Linked DNA regions of Cricetulus griseus. The protein of the gene in region 4 interacts with the protein of the main gene of each other region in a biochemical or structural test. Links are inferred from orthologs where the notes say so. Each region holds a gene or a part of one and is shown on either strand. Other genes may lie near its edges. The genes, in order: Smarcc1, Foxo1, Skp2, Akt1, Nf2, Mxd1 and Mapkap1.

The links.
Region 1: of the proteins of Akt1 (region 4) and Smarcc1, one has a biochemical effect on the other in vitro, tested with the Homo sapiens proteins (2 studies listed by BioGRID, with this or other methods). The link is inferred for Cricetulus griseus from reciprocal best matches to the Homo sapiens genes AKT1 and SMARCC1.
Region 2: of the proteins of Akt1 (region 4) and Foxo1, one has a biochemical effect on the other in vitro, tested with the Homo sapiens proteins (4 studies listed by BioGRID). The link is inferred for Cricetulus griseus from reciprocal best matches to the Homo sapiens genes AKT1 and FOXO1.
Region 3: of the proteins of Akt1 (region 4) and Skp2, one has a biochemical effect on the other in vitro, tested with the Homo sapiens proteins (4 studies listed by BioGRID, with this or other methods). The link is inferred for Cricetulus griseus from reciprocal best matches to the Homo sapiens genes AKT1 and SKP2.
Region 5: the proteins of Akt1 (region 4) and Nf2 form a complex in vitro, tested with the Homo sapiens proteins (2 studies listed by BioGRID, with this or other methods). The link is inferred for Cricetulus griseus from reciprocal best matches to the Homo sapiens genes AKT1 and NF2.
Region 6: of the proteins of Akt1 (region 4) and Mxd1, one has a biochemical effect on the other in vitro, tested with the Homo sapiens proteins (2 studies listed by BioGRID, with this or other methods). The link is inferred for Cricetulus griseus from reciprocal best matches to the Homo sapiens genes AKT1 and MXD1.
Region 7: of the proteins of Akt1 (region 4) and Mapkap1, one has a biochemical effect on the other in vitro, tested with the Homo sapiens proteins (3 studies listed by BioGRID, with this or other methods). The link is inferred for Cricetulus griseus from reciprocal best matches to the Homo sapiens genes AKT1 and MAPKAP1.

What each region holds. Positions count from the first base shown.
Region 1 is NC_048597.1:217,639,747-217,643,246, reverse strand, and holds part of Smarcc1 (SWI/SNF complex subunit SMARCC1), read right to left. Parts: intron 2,474-3,500; coding exon 2,402-2,473; intron 162-2,401; coding exon 48-161; intron 1-47. UniProt on the Homo sapiens protein: Involved in transcriptional activation and repression of select genes by chromatin remodeling (alteration of DNA-nucleosome topology).
Region 2 is NW_023276806.1:99,188,626-99,192,622, forward strand, and holds the start of Foxo1 (forkhead box protein O1), read right to left. Parts: upstream 2,801-3,997; 5' UTR 2,384-2,800; coding exon 1,769-2,383; intron 1-1,768. UniProt on the Homo sapiens protein: Transcription factor that is the main target of insulin signaling and regulates metabolic homeostasis in response to oxidative stress.
Region 3 is NC_048595.1:342,748,792-342,752,818, forward strand, and holds the start of Skp2 (S-phase kinase-associated protein 2), read right to left. Parts: upstream 2,801-4,027; 5' UTR 2,603-2,800; coding exon 2,595-2,602; intron 2,117-2,594; coding exon 1,845-2,116; intron 1-1,844. UniProt on the Homo sapiens protein: Substrate recognition component of a SCF (SKP1-CUL1-F-box protein) E3 ubiquitin-protein ligase complex which mediates the ubiquitination and subsequent proteasomal degradation of target proteins involved in cell cycle progression, signal transduction and transcription.
Region 4 is NC_048598.1:181,381,157-181,385,097, reverse strand, and holds the start of Akt1 (RAC-alpha serine/threonine-protein kinase), read right to left. Parts: upstream 2,801-3,941; 5' UTR 2,686-2,800; intron 1-2,685. UniProt on the Homo sapiens protein: AKT1 is one of 3 closely related serine/threonine-protein kinases (AKT1, AKT2 and AKT3) called the AKT kinase, and which regulate many processes including metabolism, proliferation, cell survival, growth and angiogenesis.
Region 5 is NW_023276807.1:100,122,234-100,125,733, reverse strand, and holds part of Nf2 (merlin), read right to left. Parts: coding exon 3,437-3,500; intron 1,219-3,436; coding exon 1,053-1,218; intron 435-1,052; coding exon 430-434; intron 1-429. UniProt on the Homo sapiens protein: Probable regulator of the Hippo/SWH (Sav/Wts/Hpo) signaling pathway, a signaling pathway that plays a pivotal role in tumor suppression by restricting proliferation and promoting apoptosis.
Region 6 is NC_048601.1:58,400,184-58,403,683, forward strand, and holds part of Mxd1 (max dimerization protein 1), read right to left. Parts: intron 1,055-3,500; coding exon 940-1,054; intron 1-939. UniProt on the Homo sapiens protein: Component of a transcriptional repressor complex together with MAX. In complex with MAX binds to the core DNA sequence 5'-CAC[GA]TG-3'. Antagonizes MYC transcriptional activity by competing with MYC for MAX binding.
Region 7 is NC_048599.1:146,129,448-146,133,623, reverse strand, and holds the start of Mapkap1 (target of rapamycin complex 2 subunit MAPKAP1), read right to left. Parts: upstream 2,801-4,176; 5' UTR 2,426-2,800; intron 1-2,425. UniProt on the Homo sapiens protein: Component of the mechanistic target of rapamycin complex 2 (mTORC2), which transduces signals from growth factors to pathways involved in proliferation, cytoskeletal organization, lipogenesis and anabolic output.

The DNA.
Region 1 (3,500 bases), on a different chromosome or scaffold from region 4:
CCTTGAAAAGTAAATCAATCGGCACAGGATCTAAGGCAAACATTTACCTCATCACAGCACACACGTCTCCAGTCAGGTTTCTCCGACAAGCAGTACTGGTCAAATATTCTTGGGGGTTTAGACGGTATGTGTCAATCATAAAATTTCGATATGCCAAGTATCTAAAAATATTCCCAAAGACATAAAATGACAGCAATATTAAGCAGCAACAACACTGATATTGTACTAAAATATTAGTAATTCAAATGAGTTCATAACCAATAAAATGAAAAACAAATGTTTACCACATTGTAACAACACATGAGGTAATTTGAACACTACCTTTGGTTGCTAAGCACACTGTGAAGTAGCTCGCTCACCTAATACCCAGAACCCTAGTAAAATCAGGTTCATCATCCCATTTACACACAAACTGAAGCACAGAGCACTTGAAGACCTGTCCTAGACTGAGGGCTGGAAAGTGAGAAGACCACATCTCAGATCTATGTTCATAATGGGTGACCACTCTTGCTTTCCACCCAAGGACATGGTTATGACACATCAATATACTTTCTCAGGGCATTCCATTCAGGGAGACTTAGCTAGACAAACAACCAAAGAGAAAACAAATCAGGGCAAGACCAAAGCATACAAAAGCAAGAAAAATTGAGACTAAAAGTCACATAAGACTCCACAGAATACTGTAGCATTTCTGCCACAATTGCTTTTTAAAACTCAAAAATGTTGGGGCTGGAGATATGACTAGGTGGTTAAGAACACTGTCTGCTCTTCCAGAGGACCCAAGTTCAATTCCCAGCAACCACATGGTGGCTCACATCTGCCTGTTACTTCAGTTCCTGGGGATCTGATGCACATAAAATAACATTAAATGAATTACTTAAAAAAAAAAAAAATCAGGAACGTTAAGGATTGTGACATCTACCAACAGGTTCCCTTGCCCTGCCCCCCAAGACAGGGCTTCTCTGTGTCATCCTGGCTACCCTAGAACTCATTCTATAAACCAGGCTGGCCTTGAACTCAAAGATCTAACTGCTCTGCTGGGATTAAAGGTGTAAGCTATCACAAGTTTTTGCATACATTAACAAAAAAATTTTGCATGTCAAAAATGAAAGTCTCACAACACATGTGAGCAGCTATGTAGGAGCAAAAAGTCAAAAATTTCAAAAAGGCTACATACAGACCAACCATGGGCATACAAAAATGACTGAATTTACAAGACAAAAAGGCTAAAATAGAAAAGTCTAATTTTAAAGTATGACTCCCCAAACACTTAAGGGTGGAAAACAATCTGGGCTTTAAATCCCAATCTGGAATTTGGTAACTCGAATACAGCCCTTATTTCTGACATCAAAGCACTGTATTCAAATTAACATGGAAAAATAAAACCATAATATGTTTATTGTTAAGTGCATGTGGGCCCATGTGTTTTATATGGAAAAGAATTTAAATCATGTCTTCCTAAAACAGGGTGATCACAGGACACTCTAACTTTGCAAGTACACACATGCAATGGAAATAGAGTCATGTTCCAAGAAAGGAGAGCTGTGAATTAATTTCAGAGATAAAACATTCAAGAAGTTGGCCAAGCACACCTTTGATCCCAATCAGGAAACAAAGGCAGGCGTGTAACTGTAGTTCTAGGCTAGCCTGGTCTTCACAGTAAAGCCTATCACAAACAAACAGAAAAAAGTAGAATAAAAGCTAAACAAACAACAAAAAAACATAACTTCCAGAAATATATAACATTGGGTCACACGAACAAGACAAATATTTGTTCTGATAAGCAACTTCCTTCCAGTTTTTCCTAATTCTATTGCAAAAGCAAATGCTTTAGAAAATTTAACTCAATTCAAATGCAATTGAATGAGAATGTAATTAGTAATAATTTACCATGGGGATAAAGATTTCATTCCCTACCAGACCATTATATAGCTATAGAAACATTAAAAGTGACTATTACAAACTTCAACTAAAATTCATTTACTAGATTCAATATTTAAGTGCTAGAACTGATACACATATCACCTGAGGTTTAGGAAAAACTACACATTCCTTTAAAGTTAAAATGATGCAGAAGTAAGATACACATAATTTCTGAGTGGTGCACACTATTTGCTTATTAAAAATAAAAAAGTAAAAAACAACCATGTGAGATTGTGTTTTTTGAATCAAGAGAGGCAGGGAGAAGGCCGAGTGGTTAAAAGCACTTGCTTCTGATTTTGCCCAGGACCAAGATTTGCCTCATAACCTTTAACTCCACCTTCAGGAGACCCAATGCACTCATCTGGACATCACATTCACTGCACATACATGGTACACATGAATACGCATGCAGGCAAAACACTCATATACAACAAATCCATGCTAGGAACATAAAAAGTTCGATAAACACTGGGCTCACATTTCTGGAGTCTTGGATTTGTTTTTTCCATTAAAAAACTCAGGAAGAGCACGCCGTTCAATCACATGAATACTGAAAGAAAAGAGGTACGTAGGTTTACATTGTTTTTTGAAAAAGAAATAAATCTTAAAATGAGTTCTGCATTATCCAAGTTTCAAAGGAAAATTAATAAATCCAAAAACTATAGCCAGGCATTGGTGGCGCATGCCTTTAATCCCAGCACCGGAGAGGCAAAGGCAGGCGGATCTCTGTGAGTTCGAGGCCAGCCTGGTCTCCAGATTGAGTACCAGGATAAGCTCCAAAGCTACATAGAGAAACCCTGTCTTGAAAAACCAACCAACCAAACAAATAAATAAATCCAAAACCTGAGTACTTCTTACTAAAAATAGTTTGACTGAATAATTTCCTTTACATTTAAGAGGAAACAACACAGTTAAAAACTTTTGTGTTTTCTACCCAAAGTATATACTGTAGTTTCTATTCCCTAATTAGCTGAAAAACTTCCGCTGGGAATAGTGGCTCAAGTCTGTAACACCAACAATTGAGAGAGTCAATATTGACTGAAATCGTGGGGTAGAACTCAATGTCCAATCTCCAAAAATAAATAAATAAAAGACCAACTATGAGGACAATAAAAATTATATATTGTATTACTTCCTCTTTATACTATTACAACAATAAAGGCACAAAATGAAAAGATTTCTAAGGAAAGTGGCTAACAAAGATCAGAATACTAAGTATGGTCACACAATGTAGTCAGTCAAGAGTTGGAATTTATAATAGTTATTGAAATTCCTAAACACCAGTTTGTCTTCTTCTAGCCCTCAGAAACTGTGATGAACTAAAATATCTCTCAGGGATTATCAGATCTTATTAAGTAACTATATATAAATAAATTCAATAATTTAAAAACATTCTTTAGGTTGGAAGTACTGTAGAGCCCAAGAAAAAATGATCAGGCTTAGCAAACTCTATTTGAATCAACTGTATATCCAGATTTCTGCTATAGATGTGTGTGTTTGTGTGTGTGTTATGTGTGATGACATCTGAGTCCCAAAGAAGGCTTTCCAGAGAGAAATCATGTTAAGTATTAGTTATA
Region 2 (3,997 bases), on a different chromosome or scaffold from region 4:
TCTTTAAAGTAAGGCACTTAAACAAACTGAAGTAGGTTGTATCTATCCCTCTCCAAGAACATTAAAGAACGATGTAAGTACACACTGTACTTGGGTGCCTAAAGGGTTTTAGGGTTTCTTGTTGTTTTATTTTTAATGACAGAAGCTTTATGTAACTGCTGAGATTCCATAGATGAGTAAAGCAGGCAAGTACTCAAAGTCAGTTAAGTAAAGACAACCTCTATTTTTGTGAATTAGAATATGAGAAATGGGTATTTTACTTTTTGGAACATTTGATAATATTGCATGTCAGGTATAGTATATATCTTTAAAACACACTGGCAAAAACAAAACAAGCCCGGCTCTTTCTCCAAGAACTTTCCTATGATGTGAGTAACCTGACCTTTTAGCTACTTTAACCACAGGGAAGATGGAATATGTGAAACCACCTCGCTCTAACAATCACAAAGCAAAGACTCATCACTGCTACACTGTACAGACAAGACCAGGAGGGAGAAAAGCTAAAAAAAAAAAAAAAAAAAAAAAAAAAAAGTTGCGTTAAACTGGAAAATCTTAAGATCTGTGTTCACCTGTGATGCTAAGAAACTGTCAGCCGGGGTGACCACCAGGGAGTGACCCCTGTGTAATATTCCAATTCTCTCCTCCAAAAGACCCCAGGTTCTTACTACCCCCCCACACACACACAGGGTAGGGATGTCGCGCAGTCCAACTCTGGAGTCACCTCGCTCTCCCAGCCATCTTCAGAAAGGTAAACAAAGTCCATGAGCACCTACATCTACAAATCTGCAATCCTCCTTCAAAGGAGAAGGTCTCTGGCAATTCCCTAAGCAAGTACCCCACTTAAGACTGGCACCAAATACTCCGACTAAGGCTTCCAGCCTTGCCCCTCGTGAGTAACTCCATGCTTTCTGCTTAAAGAAAGCACTCGCAAACACCTGTGCATAATCTGGTCACGCGTAGCACCTTCTGGGCTTCCAATTAAAAGCACCCCTCCCCAAGCAAGACCAACCGTGGAAGCACTTCCCTGGGTATTAAAGTGTGGCCTCCCAGGCTGGAGGCACTGGCCCTTTAAAGGCCCCAGCTTCCTGTACACGCGGTCCCTCCCTCCCCGCCGGCTCCCGCCCCGGCCAAGGGTCACACTTGAACTTTAGGTTGCCCAGCGCCTAAAAGCCGTGGCCGCCCACTCGCACGCTTCGGACACCCTACACAGTGAGTGGGCGCGCTCGACCACCTGCTCCGGCCTCGGGAACCTTCAGCAGCTGCGGGCCCGCACCTAGCTCAGCCAGCTGCTGTGCGTCTTTAGCCATCCCACCCGCAGCCGGAGCCCCAAGGGTGCGTGTGCGTTTAGGGGGATGTCGCCAGGGCTCCACCTCAGGCCTCAGTTGGCGGGTCCTGGGAAACCTTGGCCACCAAAGGCTGGGAGAGTCGGTGCGCGAGTAGGCGGAGAGCAGCCGCCCAAAGCCTCACAGGTCCGGGGTGTCAAGTAGAGAGCCCTCCAAAGTGATCCCCTCGCTCCGACAACTGGCTAACTTTCACGCCTGCTCTGGCGTTGCACTTAGTGCCCAAACAAACCCTTTCCGGGTCCCAATTAGAACTCCCTCGCGTGCACCTGGTCCAAAGCTCCAGGTCTCAGAGAAGCCTCCGCCACACCTGCCAAGTCTCACCCGCTCGCCCCGCTCACTCCGCACGCTCTGCCATTTCCGGGACCCGCAAACCCACACTTTCGACCCTCCAGCCCGCCCCCACCACGTCCCCCGAGGCCATTCACCTTCCAGCCGGCCGAGCTGTTGCTGTCGCCCTTATCCTTGAAGTAGGGCACGCTCTTCACCATCCACTCGTAGATCTGCGACAGGGTGAGCCTCTTCTCAGCCGAGCTCTCGATGGCCTTGGTGATGAGGTCGGCATACGACAGGTTGCCCCATGCGTTGCGGCGCGACGAACTGCTCTTGCGCGGCTGTCCCGCGAGCGGTCCCGCCGCGGCGGGGGGCACGGGCGGGGGCTGCGACAGCGGCCCGGTCGGCGGGGGTTGCTGCGGCGGTGCCGGGTGCACACAGCCCGCCTCGGGGCCCTGGAAGTCCCCGCACAGGCCCCTGCTGGCCGCAGCGGCGGCCGCCACAGCCACGCAACCGGGTGCCCGCGCGAAGTCCTCACTCTCCTCCAGCAGGCTCAGGTTGCTCATAAAGTCGGTGCTGACAGCGGACGCCGAGGCCAGGTTCGCGGTGGCGTCGGGGTTGGTGGCCGCGCCGCCCGACGGCGCCGGGCTCGAGGTGGTCGAGTTGGACTGGTTAAACTCTGGCCTGGGCAGCGGCCAGGTGCAAGAGCGCTGCCGAGGCAGCGGCTCGAAGTCCGGGTCGGTCTCCACCACCTGGGGCGCTTCGGCCATGGTGACCCCCGCCCCTCCCCCACCAGTATAGAGTACTGGGAGTCGCGGCCACCGGGGTCGCGGAGCGGGCGAGCAGAGACTTGCTCCGAGACTGGGGGCCGCGGTGAGCGGACGCACGCCGGAGCGAGGCGCGGCGCAGCGGACGGACGCGCCCAGAACTTAACTTCGCGGGCCACCAGGGTCCAGGATCCTCCGAGTTCGTGGCTTGGACGGGACACGGACCAGGCCGCGGAGCCCGGCAGCTCGAGCGCCACGCTCCTGCTGACAGGGCCGCGGACGCAAGAGCAGACGGGGGGGACGGCGCGGGCCGCTCGCTCGCTCTCCCGCGGCCGCGCGACAGCGGCGCTGCTGCCTGTTGAATGTGGCGGCGGCAGGGACTGCAGCGACTCCGCAGCCTCCCGACTTACGGGATCTGCAGAGGCTCCCCGCCCGCGGCGGCGCGCGCGCCGACCCGCCCCTGACTGACAGCCAGCGCGACCAATGGACACGCCACGTCTCCGCCTCGCTAGCCAATGAGCGCGAGCCTGGGCGGGAGCTGCTCTCCCTCGGGAGGCGGCAGTAGGTTGTTGGGAGGGGGCTAGCGGGGTGTTTTTCTTTCTCACACACTTTTTTTTTTTTTTTCAATCTCCGTTATTATTTTCTGTAATTCTCAAGTGTTTCTGAGTCTCTCGCTTCTCAGAGTCCGGATTGCTAGGAAGCAAACCAGCGTGGAGGCGGCGACCATACTTTTGTTTACTACAGAGTGCAAACGAGTACTCCTCGGAGCCCAAACCCCGACGACTCGAGGGGTGGCGCGGGGCCACTGCGCGCTCCCGGACGCGACGTGGGCGGCGGGGCGCCTCGTGGATTCCACTAAGCCCGCTCCGCCCACGCGTCTTCGGGGAGCTCTGGGGAAGTCGGTGGGGTTTGTTTTGGAGGAATGTTTTCGTAAGCTGGCATCTGTCCGGGCTGCCTCGGGCGTAAAGATCCTACTGTGAAGACCGAAGGCTCTGTGGCTCCTGGTCCCTCTTCCCACCCTACCCTTGCACACCTGCAAGCTGAGACTCTGCGTTTCTGTCCATCCCCCAGCCTCCAGTCATCCTGAACCCAGAAGAGGTGCGGCTTGGGGAGAAGACACTAGTGTTTCACAAGCACATAGATCCTGTAGCGCCTCTGATCTGAAGTCTTCTGTGGGAACCGCTTTCCTGCCACGGGAATCTCACTGTCCCCTGAAAACCATAGTAGTGGCCAAAGGGTTAGGAGAGCGTTTAGAGACAACCTTGTCACTTTATCACCCCTAATTAAGTTTAACTAGTTGCTTATTTCTTTTTATTTAAAATGGAAGCCATGAGGTTTTGAGTAAAATCCAAAATGATCAGACCCAAGTGTTGAGGCACAGACCCCCTTCTTCAATCACCCAACGGGTCCTTTAAGCTTCCTGCATCTGTGCCTTCAGCCTGCTCCCACCTACACCTCACTTTTCCCAGTGCGAGCTCCCAGATCTGGCTATCTAATACAGGCTCAGCAAGGTCGAAGGTAGAAAGATAATGATTCTTGTATTACGGAGCAGAAGAAAATGTTTCCTCGCTTGGTTTTCTGACTTGCTTTCTCTTTTAAAAAGAAATATGGATGGCA
Region 3 (4,027 bases), on a different chromosome or scaffold from region 4:
CCTCCACTAACAATCTCAATACCCTTCTAATTTCTATTGTCTCTAAATTTGGACTCTATTCAGAATCTGGCCACTGCTTATTATTCCCCACATCTTAACATGTCTCTAAGCTCTGTTGTCTATACTCTACCTGCTACAGTTTAGTCTCAGTTTACCAATGTATTCCTTTAAAGGGTTCAATGAGCATCTGGGTGGTGGCCCACATTGCTATTCTCAGCACTGAGGCAAGTAGATCAATTAGAGGCCAGCATGGTCTAGAGTGCTAGGACAGCCAGGTCTACACAGAGAAACCCAGTCTCAAAACAACATGAAAATACAAAAAAAGAAGGGGGGGTTCAATGAGGTAAGATCTTAAAAGAAGGGGGCTGTCCATATTTCTCCCTACTCTACTTTTACTATATGGCCTAGTCTTTTCTCTGGGAAATTTTACAGTGGCTGCTCCTTTTGCTTAAGGTTCTTTACACCAAGAGACATTTTCATGACATACTCCTGCTCTCTCTCCACTTTGCCTTTGTTTGCTTAAAGGTCACTATCCAATTAAGGGTTTTAGTTAATACCCAGTTTACAATCTATCTTCTGACTGCAGGGCTTCCATTCTCCCCCAGCTTGATCTGTTTCTGTTTTTGGCTACCATGGCCTAACCCATTACATAGAATAGCATGTCTAATGTGTTTATACTATTTCCTCACTGGAAAGGAAGTTCTAAGGTTTAGAAATGTGTATGATTTGTTCACTGCTATATTCGTAGCACTATACTGTGGAAACCATAGTGTGTTTTCAGCAAATATTTGATGAATCACTCTCTTTTTTTTTTGAGACAAGGTTTCTCTGTGGCTTTGGAGGCTGTCCTGGAACTAGCTCTTGTAGACCAGGTTGGTCTTGAACTCAGAGATCCACCTGCCTCTGACTCCTGAGTGCTGGGATTAAAGGTATGCCCACCACTGCCCGGCTATGAATCACTCTTTTAAAAGACAAGAAACAAACAAAAGAACCTTGTCAACGCCTCAAGTCAATACACTATATTTACCCTATGGCCCTGGGTGCTTGAGTCTTGATCTACTTGGGAGGCATTTGCTTAAAAATATTTGGGAAATAAGGGAATGGGAGTCACTAGTAAGGGGATAATTTAAGGTAAATTCTATTTTAATCAATCCATTTCACCTCTGGGTGACAGAACTGAGAAAAAAAAAAGCTGAAATTATAAACCCATTACAATAATTCAGGAAGAGATTGTGAAAGCTTGGATCACTTGTCACAAAGGAAGGAAAGGTACAATGACTAGATGTCAATTGGGGGACAATAGGGGATCAGACTAAGTAAGTTTTAGGGCTCTATGATTGTAACTATAATGCCACAGAACTGGAAACACAACACCCCAAGAGCCTGTTGGAAGTGGAGCAGGGAGGTAAATCTCCTCCCCCTAGATTAACATTTACCTTCCTAGTGTGCCTCCAAATAACCTAAGTGATTAAGTTATAAAGTTCACTCTGGTACAAAGCAGTGCATTAGAGACTAAAGGAATCCTCTAAGATCCTGCTTGTATTCCCATTCATCAGTGTGCTGAGCTGAACTTTGAGCAGGGAGATTCCCTTGTAAGGAAAAGGGGAGGAATGCTGTCTTGTGGGTTAAAAGTTTCAAGTCAATTGTGAACCAGAAGATAAATACCTACCAAGATTCCAGGAGACTTCAACGACTGGTTTCCATTTCACGGCAACACTTCAAAACTAGGCAATTTTAGGTACCCATCCTAAAGATCCCCCAAGGAAATCGTTCAATCAATTTAATTCAAACAAAGCAGTGCAATCCATTTCTTATATAATTTGAATTTTAGTATCATACTTTACCTGGAAAGTTCTCTCGATTGAGCTTAGGCCTACGGATGATCACAAAGTCTTTCTCACTGCCTTTGCTCTTTAGCCTTTTCCTTGGAGGGCTCTGGGGGTGGCCGAGGTTCGAGAGCAGTTCATGGGGAATGTTCTCACTGTCCACCTCCTCCTTCTCCAAGGCAGAGACACCCATGCCTGAGAGCAGTTCAGAGGTCTTGCTGGAATCCCATCCCCATGTGAAGCTAGTGGTGACGTTGCTACTCTGGTCCGGAATCTCCTGAAGGTGCTTCCTGCAGAAGGGCACACATTCCCCATTCCTTTTGAAAGCATACCCCTAAATAATTCCAAGGTAGGAATGAAAGAAGCGTCAAGTATGCAGTGTAGAAAAGTTACAGTGAGTAACAGTACTGCATTTTTAACGTGCCTACAGCGAGCTCACAAGAATGAAAGAAAATCGGAAACACACACTCCACTTCGAAAGGCTTTGGTATTTATGGTCCCGCAGAAGGCCTCAATAATTTCTTCCCGTGGAGGGAAAAAGAGGGAAGGCATTCATACCATGATTCAAAATAGTGGGAGGAAAACCAAATTAGGAAGCCAAATTAAACGGCACATAGATATTCTCACGAAAGCATGCATCCATCCACTATCTTCAAAAAGGGGGCTAAGCAACCATTCACATAATAAGATGAGCAAGAAGCAACATTCGCGGCCTAAAAGAATTCAAACGGTTCATTCATGCTTTGCCCGTTTTTGCAATCGGTTTACCTGTGCATTGCGTTCACGGATTGAGGGGTTTTGGATGCGTGTATTAAGTGAAGACCTGCCTGCCTCCCAGATTCCCGTTCCAGCGCGCGCCGCAGAGTAATGCCCCGGGGCCCCAGCAGCCGGACCCGCGAATTAGCAACGTTCCATCACCACCGCGCGCGCGGAGTTCTGCATCCCGCTCTCCAGCAGCCGCCTTCTGATGCCCCGTCGCCTGCTGGGAATTGTAGTTCTGGGGCCTGGCTCGCAGTCCGACTAGGTTCACTCCTCCTTCCTCCGCTCTTACTTTTTTTTTTTTTTTTTTTTTGCCAAACCCTCCAGATACCCACAACCCCCCGCGGCGCAGGGTGGCACTGGGGCTGGGGAGAGGACAGGCAAGCGGAAGTGGGTGGAGCTCAGACTGACGGGGAAATGTCAGCGGACTGACCGGGTACGGGTTTTTCTTCCCCCGGAGCCCACAGGCCTTTGGGTGACCACCGCCGCGGTCGCCTTGGACTGTGGGTCTCTGACCCCGGCAGGCTGCGGCGGACGCGAAGCTTCTCAGTCCCTTCCAGACGCTGTCTGCCGCGATCCGAAGGTGAGCCTGGGGGCGGGGGAGATGGTGGTGAGGCGGGTCGGGGACTGGGGTCCCGGCCCAGGCTGGCGGAGATAGATTGGGGGGTTCGACATGTTGAGCGGCCTCCGCCGCCAGGCCCATCTCCCTGGTCTCGGTCGCCCGCCAGGTGAGAGGCTGTGGGAGGCACACCTGCCCTCCTGCCAGACGGCTACTTCCTCCACCTGGCAGTGGGCGGCCCTTAGGACTGGGTCTGTGGACACCATCCTTACCTCAGCTGTAAAATAGGCTCGGGGACGACGCACACCCCACGGGCTTGGCCTGAGGATCACATCAGATAACGTGCGTGTGGAAGCCCTATGAAGCTCCAGCGCAGTTCCCAGAGAAGCAGTGGTTAACTTGAGGGCAGCAGGAGCCAGCGGTGGTTCCCGCGTGTATCCTTGACGGGTCTCTCAAATGCAGCCAAGGGAATCAGATGACGACCCTATGCTTGCAGTGAGAGACCACCCTGAAAAGCTGTTATGGTGCCTTTGACTCAACCCACAACTTCCCTTTGGTTCTCTGCCTAAAAGCTAAGCTAATTTAGGCTCTCTGAAGAGGTCGGGGGGCGGGGGCGATTAGATTGGAATGACCATGCGAAATGCTAGTGTGCAAACTGTGCTAAAAACGTGACTCCAGGGCCACAGGGGAGAGGGTAGGGGATGCATTTCAAGTCCAGTAAAAATGAAGAGGGTTTATAAAGTTGATGGACAAAAGCAGGCTAGCTCCATCATAAAGTTAAGAATATTGGTTCATATGTTAGATGACATGCCCCTGAGTTTCTATGAGGGGAGGGGCCAAGACTGGTTTTATAACGGAATTAAATCCCTCTTGCTCAGGCGTG
Region 4 (3,941 bases):
CCTCCAGGCAGCACTGCTGGCTTCTGCTGGGCCCCACACTAGTGAGGGGTGCTCGTTCACTGTCCTTGTCCCTGCGTTCTCACCACCCCTACAGCCAAGGATGCCTAATGCAGAATGCAGGGCTCCTGCCTGCTCGGACTAGGAACACAGGAGTGTAGGCATTCAGAGGCACAGGTGGAGTAGGTAATGGATATAAAGCAAAGCCCAGAGTCTGAAGGGGAAACATTAAAAACCTCCCCAGGTGAAACCCCAGACCCTCTCAAACACAGCACCCTGCTCCCCTGAAGGTGTTTCATTCATTGGGCTAGCATGTACCAGGCGTCTATGGGTTTGCCAAACCTTCACTCTATATCAGGGACAAAGAGACTTCTAGGCAGCCCACAGTTACAGCATTCAGCCCACACAAGAGGCAGGCAACATACAAAAACCTAGGGTCCTGCAGTGACCCACCAGAGAGTCAGAGTCAAAGCACACTTTGCCAGTTCCCCCTGGCACTGCTTCTCTGCTGGAGGGACTCCTGGGCATCCCTCAAGGCCCTGTTCTCATGTCACCAAGTCTGGGAAAGTGCATTTGGACACTTTTTTTTTTCCCAGCAAGCCTATGCTGTCCCTCCACCTGGGGTTCCTGTGGACAGGCCCAGGAAAGACCAGAAGACCACTGTGGAATAGATCCCAACTTGGGTCTGTCTACTACAGCTGACCCAGACAACCCCCTAGGTCACCTCTCTAGACCAGAAGGCACAAGCTAGCACCCAGAGTCACTGTCACTTTGCCTTGTCTGGAGCTAAATGTGGAACAAAAGGAAGGCCCTGCTGTGTGCCAAATGCCAAATGCCAGAGGAGGAAAGACCACACTTGGCTTAAGAAGGAAAACATCCTACCCTTAGCAAGCAGGTGGCAATGGAAAGCCAGGATGAAAAAGATAAGCCAAGAAGGAACCCCAGATGATGGCTATCCAAGTGGGTGTGGCCTGGAGGTAGAGGGTTGGACTGGAAGACCTCTCTCTGGATGTACCCCCACCCCCACCCAGACCCGAGGTCTGCTGGTGACAGTCAGCTGTCCAGAGCCATGTAAAAATAAGTTCATATGCACAGCGATGTTAACCAGTGTCCACATCAATCAGCCCTGCGCATGGGACCTTCTTCCCTCCACGACCCTGGAGCGCCTTGCCATAAGAGCATATGGTTGCTATTGTTAAGTCTGAAGAGTTCAGCCCCTCTGGGACACTGGGCCCACACGCCCAGCTGGGGCCCCAAGGCGACTCGCCCTTCACTTGAGTGATGGCTCTAAGCAGTCAAGGCTAGCCACCTGGGGCAAGACCAGAGGCCTGGGGATGGGGGGCGGGGGGTGAAGGAGTTTGGCCACAGGGCAGAGCAAGGTTCGGCCACCACCTAACTTAGAAACCAGTCCTCTAGACAAATCCATCAGCTCGGCCAGTATCCGGGATCCCAAAGGTCGAGCCCACGCGTCCTCCAGGCCCCAGCACCTCCAGAAACCACCTACTCCAGGAAGCAGTTTCCGGGCCCAGGAGGGCTAGCAGTCCTTTGTGGGCTAGCCTGGGCACAGTGCCACCGCGCACAACTTTCTGTCCGTGGGAAATGAGTTCTCCTTCCCAGGGCCCTCCCACCACACGCAGGCCGCGGGGCGAGCCTTTCTCCTACCCTCGCTGGCCGAGTGCCCAGACAGCCCCAGGCCCCGGGGCGCACCGGCCCCCACTGCGCGCACGCCAGCAGCGCCCCTCTCCCGCGCGCGGCCTGGCCCCGCGGGGCGGCCACCCAAGGTCACGCGGCGGCCGCCCCGCACTCTCTCCGGCGTGGGCCTCCTGCGCGATCCGCCCGGCCCGCCGCGCGCTCAGGCCTCGCTCGGCCAACAGGCGGGCGCGGCCGGGAACAAAGCGGGGTGGCCGCGGCCCGGAACAGGGCGCGGCGCGGGCACTCACCCGGCCGCGCGCGTGCGGGCGACGGGGCCTAGCCGGCCGCGGCCTCGGGCGCCCGCCGCTCCGCATCCCGCGGGCGGGCGCTGGGCGGGGCCGGCTGGAGGCAGCGGCGGCCGGCGCGCGCGCTGCTGGCCGGGTCTAGGCCGCCGCGGTGCCGGCCGCCGGGCGCTGCTCGGTCCGCTCCGCCTGTCGGGACTCGCGTGCGCTGCCGCGCTGGGCCGCCGCCCGCCGCCCGCCGCCGCTTCGGTGCTGCCGCCCGCCGCCGCCGCCGCCGCCGGCCCGCCTTCTCCCCGCCCCGCGCCGCGCCGCCCCGCCCACATCCGCCTCCGCCGCCCCGGGCGCCCCCGGCGCGGCCGCGGCCAGGGCGAGGCGCCCCGTGAGCGCGAGCGCGGCCCCGCAGGCGCCGCCCTCGGGTGGCCCCGAGCCAGGGCCACGCGGGTAACGGAGCCCCGCCGCCGCAGATCCAGAGCCCGGGCCCTGGCCCAGGTTTCCCCGTCGCTGGACGACCGGGCACTTGTCGGTCCGGCTCTCCAGACCCCACGGGGCGGGCGTGCGGAGCGAGCGGATCGCTCTGACTTTCCCAAGAGGCCCAACTGTCCCCTTGTTGGGAGCCGGGCGAGCCGGGCCACCGGTGTCCTAAAGGCCACACACGCCACCCAGAAAGGAAGGCTGCTGGGGGCTCATTCAACCCGGGACTGTCGGCCAAGGAAACTGACGGGCACCCTGCGGTGACAGGGAGACGGGGACACACCTGGACATCCAGGGGGGCCAGTGTGCTGTTGGGGGCAGACCCCGGGGTAGAGCTCAAGTCAGCCAAGACCTCGCTGTGCACTCAGATGGGCGAGGCGCGGGAGGGGGGCGGGAGGACGGGGGGGGGCGGTTCCTTATGGTGTCCCGGAATTGGAGAGTCAAGGTGGCCTCTAACCCACCCTCTGCTCTCCCCCTTCAGCCTGCCCCAGCAGTTCCTGCCCCAGCAGAGCCCCTCCCTCGTCCCTGAGGCCCGAACTGATAATAACCCTTTTGTGAGTTTACCTCCAGGTCTTTGGTATTTTTTCCGAGGGGGCATTTTGTTGTTGTTGTTTTGTTTTGTTTTGTTTTTAATCCAAGGGTCAGAGTTCACCTGGAGTGTAAACAGGATAGATTTACTCCATGCTAGCGCTAGTCCAGAATGGAGTCGCTCCTTCTCTGCCTCGGGGACTGACTTATGAAGCGAACCCCTCGCCGGGAAAACTGTCCTCTCGGCGGGGGGCACAACTCCTGGGGCGGGAGCGGTGGGGGGTAGGGGGTCTGTTCTGCTTGTCTGCAGCACAGCTGCCCCAGCTCTGAGCACCTCCAGGGCGCTAAGCCCGGCGGGTCTGTGCTGCTCCAGCTGTATCCCTGACCTGAGGGTTTCCCTCGGAGACTGAGCAAATCCATCACTCACCCAGCAAACTTTCACCCCAGGCCCCCTGGTCCTCTTCCCCTGCTTCCCCAATCCCCGTGCTGGGCAGTGGGGAGTGGCCACTGCGAGCCAGCAGGGCGCCCTCTTGTGGAACACATGGCAATTGGAGACTGTTCTCCAAGGACTGACATCTTCTGGGTGCTCTTTCTGGAAGCCACTGTTGCAGCACTCCCACCTGTGATGAGCCGTTTCTAGGCAGTACCCGTCCCTACCTTCTTTGTGTCTCTATCTTCCCCGTGCCCAGGGTCTTCCTGCGGACGGAGGGCGCAAGGCCCTCTTCTGGGCCCACACTTTAGCCACACCCCTCTTGGGCCTCCTAGGCAGAGCCACAGACCAGAAGCGAGCCTTACCGCGACTTGCCAGTGATATGCTCTGCAGCCAGATGTCTCCAACAAAAACAGTGGCCCTGACCCCCTCCCCAGGCACAGAGGTGGTCTTCCCTGTCACCTCCTGCAGCTGGCAGTTGGGTAGGGACTCAAGTGCCTGAGCCCTGCGCTAAGAGGTCTGGGCATCGGCTGCAGGGTGGGACCCCAAAGCTGGAGAGGTTTGCTTGTACCCTGGACTGG
Region 5 (3,500 bases), on a different chromosome or scaffold from region 4:
TCCGTGTGTGTGTGTGTGTGTGTGTGTATGTGTGTATGTGTATGTATGTATGTGTGTATACACCCACACACCAGTGAAATGTAGGGAGATATGAGTTTCTCTGGATTTCCAGTGACAACTTAATCACTGAAAACAGAGACAGTCCTTAAACTGGAGACTGCTGACTGAAATAAAGAGTAAAACTTAACTACATTAGTTATCATTCAAACTCAAAGGAGAAAAGGGTCTTATTCTGTAGCCCAGAATGGCCTTGAACTTGCAATCCACCTGCCATTCACTCCTAAATGCTAGCGTTACAAGAGTATGTCACCACACCAATCACTTTATAACCCCTGTTTTACAGGGACAATCAGCTAAAAGCATTAACTTTCCAGAAAAAACTTCCTGCTTTGCCCAAATAAGAGATATGTACATTCTCAGCCTGATAACGAGGACTGAGTAACTTCTAAAGTGATGAGCACTCTAAATATCAGGAGAGGCAGATGAGACTCTGAGCCTCCTAAATAAAGTCTCATCTTCTTAAACATTACAGCTCTCCTATATTCTGCCTTTTAAGTATGAAAATGTTGGACATTCATAACATGGTCTTACACAAAGACGAGAGGGGACTCCATTCAACAGCCTTTAATTCATTCTGCTCTCTCATTAATTAAGGCAGTTCCTTGGGCATAAGTTCCACTGGCTTTAAAGACAGAATCACTTTAGTGCTCAGTGATAGATCAAAACCCATCCTCAAACAGGGACTCATCTCATCAGAGCTTTTAACACAAGCTCCACTTCCATCAAGCCAATGGGTTCATGGTCATTGGCAGATTAAATTCTTTCTGTCAGGAGTTGAAAAATCCCCTCAACTAAGTACATGTTAAAAAAGAGAGAGAGAGAGAGAGAGAGAGAGAGAGAGAGAGAGAGAGAGAGAGAGAGAGAGAGAAAGAAAGAAAGAAAGAAAAGAAAAAAAACAAGAGTCTAATGACTGGGCTCTTGAGGAAACTAGATGCCAACCTCATATTTCATTAATAAGTATCCTGTTCATCAAAACCCAGGGACTAGGGTACCTTTTTAATGGTATTGTGCTTGCTACTGGTGCCGCCCCTGTCTGAGTTCTCGTTGTGTAGGATATCCAAGGCTGTCTCCCTCTCTTTGAGTTTCAAGGCCTCGATTTCCGTCTTGAGTTCATTGAGCTGCTCTTGCAGATGCTTGCTCTTCTCCATGTACTCCACTCTGTGGCAAGAGGAAACCATGCATCAGAACTGGGCAGACACTGAGGCATGGAAGGGATGCATCATAACTTACAAGCTGTTCGGTATGATAGCCAGGAGCAGCCTGGGGTTCACACCTGAACCTGGCCACGCAGAAGCCAAGGGAGCTTGGGCTACCCACTTAACTGCAATAATCTCTTTTCCACATCAGTGCAATTGGGATAATAATTACAGAGCCTCTGGTCAGGAAGAAATGAAGTGTAGGAAGAAAGCCCTGTATAAACTTTCAGAGTGTTCTCCAAATAACCCTGCCACAGACAGCTTTCAGTTCTGTATGAAGAATCACATCAAACAAACCTCCTGAATCCCAAAACACTCTTCTGTTTCTGCCCCTCCTGAAGCAGTCAACCAAGAGATCTACTCTCCCACTTATCCTGAGACCTTTAGGAAAAGATGGCAGACACTCACTCAGCCAACACTGAGAAAAAACAGGTCTCCACTTTCACCTGAAGAGGTTAAAGTGTTTAACCATAAGAGCATGAACAGAAAACCATATAACACAAATATAAGGAAACATTCTGAACAGATTACAGCAGCCAGTCAGTGGGCTCTGCCAGCCTGTGTAGGAAATAAGTGCTATGGGCTGAATGTAGTGCTGTCCCATTCATAGACTGTGGCCAACTCACTCATGTATTAGGAGGTGATGCCCTGGGAAGTAACTAGTTCAGCCTCATGATGGGATTTGTGTCCTTAAAAAAAACAAAAAACACCCTAAAGAGATCCTGACACATACGAGTACACAGCAAGGGCCATCTATGAACAGGAAGAGTACTCTCATTGAACTCTGAGTTGACAATACCTTGACCTTGGATTTCTAAGCCTTCAGAACTACGAGAAGTAAATTTCTGTTGTTTATAGGCTTTCCAGCTTCTGGCATTTTGTTATAACAGCCAAACACACTAAGTCAGTGAGAAAATACAAACTATAAAAAAACCAAGGCACAGGACAGGATGTGGCCTTATGCTGATCACAACCACATAAACATGTACATCTGGACAATAAGAAAGGGACTCAGTCTGATGCTGACAGCAGCGGCTCTGGATCACAGCTCCTTAGCTGTTCTCAGTAGAGGGATCAAAGGAGGATAGCCTGGTTTATGATGGTTCATGCTGGACTGCAGAGCCCTATTCTGAGAGTACCACAGTGAGTAAGGGGTTTCAATCCTTGTCCTGCTCCTCATCAACTATGTGATGCTGGGTGACTCATTAAGTCTATTCTCTTTTATATAATTAGAACACTAAAACTGTTTTTTTGGAAATAGGGCCTCATGTAGCTCAGGCTAGACTTGAATTTGTTAAGTAGCCAAAGATAATAATGCAGTTCTGATCCTCATATCTCTATTTCCTGAGAACTAAGATTACTGGTGTAGGCACCATGCCTGACTTATACTGTGCTGGAGATTAAACTCAGGGTTTTGCACATGTTGGGCAAGCCCTCTACCAACTAAGCTATATCACCAGTCCCTAAAACCTGCCTTTGATGCCAGTGGGATATTTGTTGACTAGTATGAGTTAAATAAGACAAACCCTAAAATGCCCAGACTTACAGGTGCTCAACACATAGGGCCTCCGTGATTGTTCTCTGCCAGCTGTGGCACTATTAACCAACTTACTCAAGGACTGAGGGGGATCTTACTTAGATTTCATCTACCACGGGATTCCTCTCCATCTCTGCTTCACTTCCGCTGACCACAAAGTGGAGGTGGAGGGCACTTGACAGAAGCAGCTGTGGTTTGGCTGGTTGCCAGCAGGACCCACGCTTTGCTCAGCCTAGAAACCCTGTTTTGTTTTTTGTTTTCTTTTCCTTCACCTTTGTTTTAGACATAGGAACCACTGCTGAAGAACATGACCAGAAGAAAACTAGTTAAGCACTATGTGAACAACAGTCTGACTCGGGGACTTACCATGATCCAGTCTTTTTGTCAGTCAAGGTTTGAACCACTATAAATTCCAGGCCACCAATCAAATGTTATTTTTCTTCTGGGGACACTGACTACTGTCCTGATCGGTCATCTTTAATTTCTAATTAGGAAATTTGTTCTCCTAGTGGGTGACAACAGAGCAAACCTTTGCAGGGATAATGACTGACTAACTGCTGTGGTGACCTTTGTGTTCCCAGACCAAATCTACTCTCTCATGTTCACAACTGCCTCAAGCAAGTAGGCCACAGAGGGTACATACTTTTCTTTCTCTATCTCCATGGAAAGTCTCTTCATGTCAGTATCCTTGAAGTCGAATGATAGGC
Region 6 (3,500 bases), on a different chromosome or scaffold from region 4:
AAGCTCTCTCTCAGAGCTGTCTTGTATGCAGGCTGCTAACGGTTAATAAACTGGTATTTGTCTAAGCAAGCTATGGCTAAATGGTGATACTGGCTGTGGCTCAGTAGTGCACAGAGAGTCAGCACAGACAGACTTGTCATGAGGTTCCTAGGTTCCCTCGTGGAGCTACAGGATAATTCTGGAGACATCCAGCCACCACACAGGACACTGACAAATGTGCACCATGCCAGTCAGTGAGTCAGGGGCCCTGTGACAAGAAAGGGTCAGCAAAGGGAAGGGCAAGTACGATGGCCCTGGTCCCAGAACATGACAAGACAAGGAACAGACAGGACTGCAGTGGGCTGCTGCAGAGGCAGGAGAGACCTGGTGACAGCTCAACCAGAGTCCCTGAGGCATTTAGAATAATGAGTGCAGATGAACTACAGCAGGTTTGCTTCTTAGGGTGCAGCAGGTGTGTGTGTGGGGGGGTACAGAGCATGTAGGAGACTGTGGGGTCTCTTTCAGTTGATAGTGGTAGGTGCAAATGGGCACAGGTCAGGCTGTCAAACACTGTGGTCTCGGTCATGGTGGGGATACCAGTGGCTTGAGGCGCCAGGGCCTGAATTTCTTTTCTTTTTTTTTTAATCTATTTCTTTTAATTCTTTTTTTTTTTAAAAGATTTATTTATTTATCATGTATACAGTGCATGCCAGAAGAGGGCACCAGATCACATTACAGATGGTTGTGAGCCACCATGTGGTTGCTGGGAATTGAACTCAGGACCTCTGGAAGAGCAGTCAGTGCTCTTAACCCCTGAGCCATCTCTCCAGCCCATGAATTTCTGACTGGACCTTCTAACTGGGTTTTAGATGATGGGGAGACAGGTGAGGTGGGAGGAGCCCAGAGACCATACTAGAAATACACCCTTGTTTGTTCCTCCCAGCAGGGCAAGTCACCTACCTTTATGAGCAATTTGGCTTTTTTCAGCAAACTCAGTGTGGTGTGTCGGCTTGACTCAGGGCCCAGCGGCACCAACCCCTTCAACTTCTCTAGACACAGGCGGAGATGAGCACGCCTGTGAAAACAGAACCATAGCAGCACTTGAGACTTCTACATAGGTTCTGAAGTGTATGACTGCCAGACCCAGCAAAGGCTGGTGCCAGCAATACTGTGTGAGGTCAGGCACCTGCACTGAAACCCAGTGGGAAGCCTTGGAAAGCAGTGCTTCTAGGCAGATTCCAGATGCAATTCTGGGGAGTGGAGCACAAAAGCTGCTTGTATCAGGCACTTTCATCAGCTTCTCCTGAATCAGAAGACGACATGCCCAGGGGAAAATCCTCAGCTTGTGTTTTTCCTCCTAAGTAATCACTGTTTGCACATAGAATTTTTTCCACATATGGGACAAGTGTATCACAGGAAATGCTGACAGATGTGAGACACACTATCCCTCCATCTCAAGTGTACTGGACAAAGGCTAACGTGGAAGAACCACAACCACACACAGATCCTGTGTCACAGAATGACCAGAAGCATAGCAGGGCCCACAACTTTGGATGTTTACAGTCCACTGAAACCTTGGTTTGGACTTCACTCTAAAATGGAACAGATTCCATGAATATGAGAAATGGCCAACTTTCAGGTGTTTGTGCCTTCCTGAGCCATCCTAGCTCACAGGGAATCCTCAGTTCTGGGCTTCTCCATGTGGTTTGGTGTCTGTCTCTCAACCTTTCACTCAGACTCCTTGGGAAGCCTAGCTGAGGCTTACTCACTGACACTATGCACACCGATGACTGCGTCAGCTGTTTCAGTGGACTTTAAGCTTCTTGAAGACAGAGTCCAACTCATCACATCTACACAGAGCTTGGGCCTGGGTAATGCCCATTCCCACACACAGCCAGCTAGACAGAGTGTTTCCAGCTGCTGGGGAACAGGGCAGTGCCTCCTGGGGCAGCACTGGGAAATGAGGCTTGGACCTCATTCGGAGTCCCTTGCCCCAGCTGGATCATGGTGTGCTGAGGGCCTCAAGGAGCACATGTAGCTGACTGATGGAAAGGCCTGGATGCTAGCTGTGGGGGCACAGAAGCTGTGTGTACCATCCTGGTGGTGGATATACTCTGACACAGATTGTGCCATCAGAAGTACTGTGTGAGCAGAGGTAAGATTGGCATTGGCACATGTATGAAAATACCATGGTGAAACATTTATTCACACACTAGAAAATTAATACTAAAGAAACACCATGAGGGCTGGAGATAGTTTAATGATTAAGGGCACTGCTGCTCTTCCAGAGGACATGGGTTTGGTTCTCAGCACCCACGCTGGGCAACTCATAACCAGTGGAAGATCTGATGCCTCCAGTTTCCATAGGCACCTGCACTCACAGGCATATATCCACACACACAGGCACACGAACTCACTCTGTAGACCAGGCTGGCACTGAACTCAGAGATTCACCTGCCTCTGCCTCCCGAGTGCTGGAATTAAAGGTGTGTACCACCACCACCCAGACTGGAACATAATTTTAAAAACTCTAAAAAGAAACTATGAAAAACAAGACACTAGTGACTTGCTTGCACTAGTAACAATAGAGTGACATGTCTTGCTTGCACTAATTTGCCTCTCCCTCTAAAGCCTTCAGACTAATTATATACAGTTGCTTACCAGCCTGCAAAGCCTGTAGGGGACAAGCCTGTCACACTGTCCTCCTGTGATGTGGTTACACACAGACACAGACTGGCAGTGTACATATCTGTCACTGTCCCCCTGGGTCATCTTACTGCCCCATTAGATGGTCTTCTATTACCAAGAGTGGTCTTAGTTCCTGTCCTGGCAGGGGAAGGTGGTGCCAAACACTGCTTCTCCAGCCCCCACCCCCACCCCCATCCCCACCCCAAGCCTGTTGTTAGCAGAGCCACACTGCCTTGACCCTAAGTAATGACCTTGGACAGCCTCCTTCTGGCTCTTTAGGAGGAGTGCTATAATCGGCATGGGTAGACAAAAGGCTTGGTCTACAGAAGCATGAGAAGCCATGCTTTCACCTGCAATGCACTGCACTGCAATGGCGGTGCTTACAGTCAGGAGTGGCTGTAACTAGCAGTCCACCACACAGGTCAACCACAACCCTCTCGGTTGGCAAGTACCCCAGGCCCTATATTTAGTACTTTCACCATTCTACATCAGTCAACGGCTACACAAGCTAACATTACTGTAGTGGTGCAGAGCAGAGGTTGCTTTGCCACTTACTCCCCATGTGACTTTGAACAGGCCACCTAACTCCGAGGCCTCTAGCTCCTCAGCTGCAGAATGTGTGACAGAGTCCTACCCTAGAGGGCCACAGAGGCTCTCTAGAGAGGATAGGGCCTGATATGTTGTATACTGCCTCAGCTGGCGTTACTCTTCCAAGCCTAGCTCTTCTACACAAGGGTAACTGCCTTGAGCAAATATGGACAAGCAGGGTGCTGCAGTGTTCCTCCCAACCAACCACCAGCAAGCTCAGGGGCCTCACCAGGCAGGGGCCGAGT
Region 7 (4,176 bases), on a different chromosome or scaffold from region 4:
GTGCTAGAATTAAAGGCATGTGCTACCGAAGCCTGCTGGCAAACGTGTGTGTGCGCGCTGCCTGCATGTATGCCTGCACACCAGAAGAGGGCGTCAGATCCCATTATGGATGGTTGTGAGCCACTATGTGGTTGCTGGGAATTAAACGCAGGACTTCTGGAAGAGCAGCCAATGTAACTATAAAGGCATTTTTTACATTTATTTTTTAACCTATGTACATGAGTGTTTGTGTGCATATATGTTGTACACCACATGCCTACCTGGTGCCCACAGAGGTCAAAACATGGCATCAGATCCTCTGGAACTAGAGTTACAGATAATTGTGAGCCACTATACAGGTGCTGGGAACTGAACCCAGGTACTCTGGAAGAGCTTCCCATGCTCTTAGCCACTGAAATATCTATCCAGTACAACATGTCTTTTTTTAAAATGGGGTTTCACTGATGCTCAGGCTGGCCTCAAAGCATCTGTGCAAGTTCTCTGCTGCCTCAAAGTACCAGCTGCCAAGCAGTTGGCCTGCACCACAATGCCAGGCCTTGTATAGAGGAGTTTCTGTATTGTCCATTTCAGCGTTCTTATTTTCTCATTCATATACTTGCAATATATACTTGCAAAGAGTGCCATGGTGAGAAAAAAGGCAAGACCTGGCTCTGTCTCATACCAGCTGTGCAACTATCCTGTACTTCCCGCCCATAAATTTTAGTTTAATAAATTATGTGAGGAAAAGTAAAGTTCAGTTTGCCTCACATTATGCTCACTCACGTGATCAAATGTCACTTCCCAAAAGCTAGCACTGTGTCCTACTTCATTTCCATCTCAGAGAAACCCTCTTACATGGCCCCTGTCACTTCAATGGAGTGACTGATTCCTCGCACAGTAACAACTCCCTGAACACCGTGACTAAGTCCTATTAAACTACACTACAGTGCCTGACCTAAATCCACGCACAATAAATGCTTGCTACATCAAATGACTGTAAATAACAAGTGTTTATGGGATTCTAGGTAAGAAACCATTTCCAGGGCTGGAGAAACAACAACAGTTCAGCAGTTAGGAGTCAGGACTGCTCTTGTGGAGGACCCAAGTTGGGTAACCAGCAACATGCAGCCCATAAGTAACAGTGGCTCCAGCTCTAGGACATCTGACACCCTCTTCTGTTGCTCTGACCACTGAGGGCAATGCTCTCACACATACACAAATCCTGCATGGGCACACATATTAAAAAAATAATTCTTGCCAGGCATTGGTGGCGCATGTGTTTAATCCCAGCACAAAGGCAGAGGATCTCTGTGAGTTCGAGACCAGCCTGGTCTACAAGAGCTAGTTCCAGGACAGCCTCCAAAGCCACAGAGAAACCCTGTCTCGAAAAACCAATAATAATAATAATTCTTAAGAAAAAAGGAAAGAAAGAAATCATTAGAAGCTAGATTGCCCCTAATAGGTTAAGTGAGACCACCTTCAGGTGAACCATGGGAAGCATTATGAATGTGTTAGAAGCCAAAAACCAGAAAGCTTCTAGGTGGAGTGGAGTCATTCTTTTTTTAAGTATTTGAGAACAAATCAAAACTGATTTGAGATCTTACTTATCCAGAGGGAAGGTCTATAATGGAAACTTTTATAAGCTTAACTGTAAAAAGCTAGCCAGGAGCCACAGGCACATAGAGGCTATGCAGGCACTATACACATTAGTAGATGTGAGCACCCAGCTGAATAGGACAGGGACACCTGGTATGCCCCCCACCTGAGACTCCAGTTAAGTTTGAGGGGGTCTAAGCTGAAGAAGATGGGGACAATTATCACTGAGCGAGTACTTTCACTGCAGCTTGGGTGGCCTAAAACCACGGGAATAATGCACTTTATTTCTGCTCTGGAGGGTGCTCACAAGAGGGGGCCACCCCGTCTGTTGGTCAGGTGAATGCGGACCTTTTAACTGAAGTGTCTGTTCACCTCACTGTTCATGCCTGAGAAGGTTTTGAACTTGGTTGTTGGGGGGGGGGCGGGGGGAGCTATAACAAACATGATGCTTTGCACGGAGTTGGGGACAGTGACAGTTTCAAATATTGGCAATCATCCAAAGGAAGTGTAACAAATTTCGAGGTCCCTGGTTGGTCTTATAGTTTCTGATTCGTGTTATACACTTCTTTAAACTCTATTCTTTTCTTCTCCCCACCCCCACCCCCCAGCTTTACCGCTCCTCGCCACTCCCATAAACAGAAAAACCCGGAATCCAAGTTCCCAGCAGCACGCCAGATAGGAAAACAATCTGAAGGACTGTTTCTGGACTGTCCGGGCAATACTCTGAAAACTGATTTCACAGAGTGGAGCTGGGGCACCGGACCTTGTCGAGTTCGGGACCTGAAACCGCTGGAGCCACGTACGCTCCCGCTCCCGCCCCCACACCCCCAGGTCCACAGCCTCTCCTCACCTAAGTCACACACCCAGCTGTCAGGTTCGCACGCTCCCAGGCCACCGAGCACGGCCCGGGCGGGCGGTCGCGGGGCAGCGCGGGCAGCGGGGTGCTGAGGGACCACAGGGTCCCGCGGGCGAGGGGCGGCGGGCGGCGGCTAGGGCAACCTTTACCTGAAGCCGCTTCCACACTCCCCTGAGGGAGGCCCGGCTTTCCCACGCCCCCCGGCCCCTGCACCGAACCCTGCGCCCACGAAGTCCTCGGGGACCAGCGCTTCTACCGGCCGGCTCGACTGCCGCTCCCCAAACTCGCCCTCATGACCCCGCCGTTCCCCGCCGCCGCCGCCGGCCGGCAACACCAGCCCTGTTACCCGGAGCCGCGCCACGACCCGGAACCGCACCCGGCGTACCGGAAGTCCCCGGTCGGGAAAGGGCCTCTGGCTGGGGACGCAGTGCGCAAGTCCCAGAGCCAAGAGCCAAAGCCTCCGGGGGGGCGGGGCCTGGCGGAAGGCTGGCGCACGCGCGCTGCGCTCAGGCCGATCTGGAAGCATTCTTGGTTTTACAGGCAGCAGTCATCACCTTAACCTCCACTGGGAACAGTCCTCGGTTTAACCTTCATGTCAGAAAGAAGAGTTCACTGCCGTTATTATTTGTTAGATGGACATGGTGTCAAACTGTTTTTTAATTCCTATCTGAACACCCAAATTAGCGCAGCTCTCAGACCTCATCAGAGAAGTTTCTTACTGCAGTGGACGGTGGTTAATACAGAAACTCACAACTGGCCAAAGTGCAGAGGTGAAACGTCTATACGGTGCTCAGTCGAAGTGGGGCACATCACACCTCCATTCTGGAAGGTTCAGGGACCATCATGAAATCAAAAAAAAACAGACCACAAGAGCCCGAGGTCTGGAACAATCAGCATCTTCTGGACCTGACAGGCTCTCTGCATACATGAATTCACAGCAGTGCAAGTTACCTGTGCAAGACCCACAGAAGACCAAGCCAATCAACGTGGCAGTTGGTTCCTACTGGTGGGAGGGACTGTCGGTTTAGCATAAGGGTATTGCCCCTGGTAGGTCAACCATCTCCAGTAGATGGCCTCACACTCAGAAGTATATATATAGGCAACACAAATTGGAATTAAAAATATTTAGGGGGGACACTATTCAAGAGTTTGGGAGAGGGTAGAGGTGAATATGAGATGAATTGGGGGAGGGCATGAATATGATCAAGATACGTTGTATGCATGGATGAAATTCCAAACAAATTTAGTTTTAAAATCTTTGTTTTTAAATCGTTTTTTTACAGAGTCAACCGCCAATTCTATATTTCTGTGAATCTTTGGACACTACACCTCTAGATTTTTCCACCTATAATGATAGTTTCATCTTCTGAGTATTGCTATGAAAATAAAATAGGTTGGTGAATAATAAATACCAGCAAAGTGGCCAGCACATCATAACAAATGTTAAGACTCTCATAACACACACACAAAATAGTGAGGATAACAACCATATTCAGGACTGGCAGAAAGTCTGGGTGAGATGTAAGAAGATTAACTTTCTGGAAAAAAAATCAGTAGCAGAGGGCTAACAAGATAGCTAGCGAATCATTTGATCTGCAGAATTCAAAGAAACATCTGTATGTGGTGGTGCACAAGAACAACCCCAGGGAGACAAAGGTGGGCAGACCTCAGATGCAGGGTAGCCAGTCAGTCTTGCCTAATTGAGTGACACCCAAGACTCCAAGAGAGACCCTACCTCAAAAAAA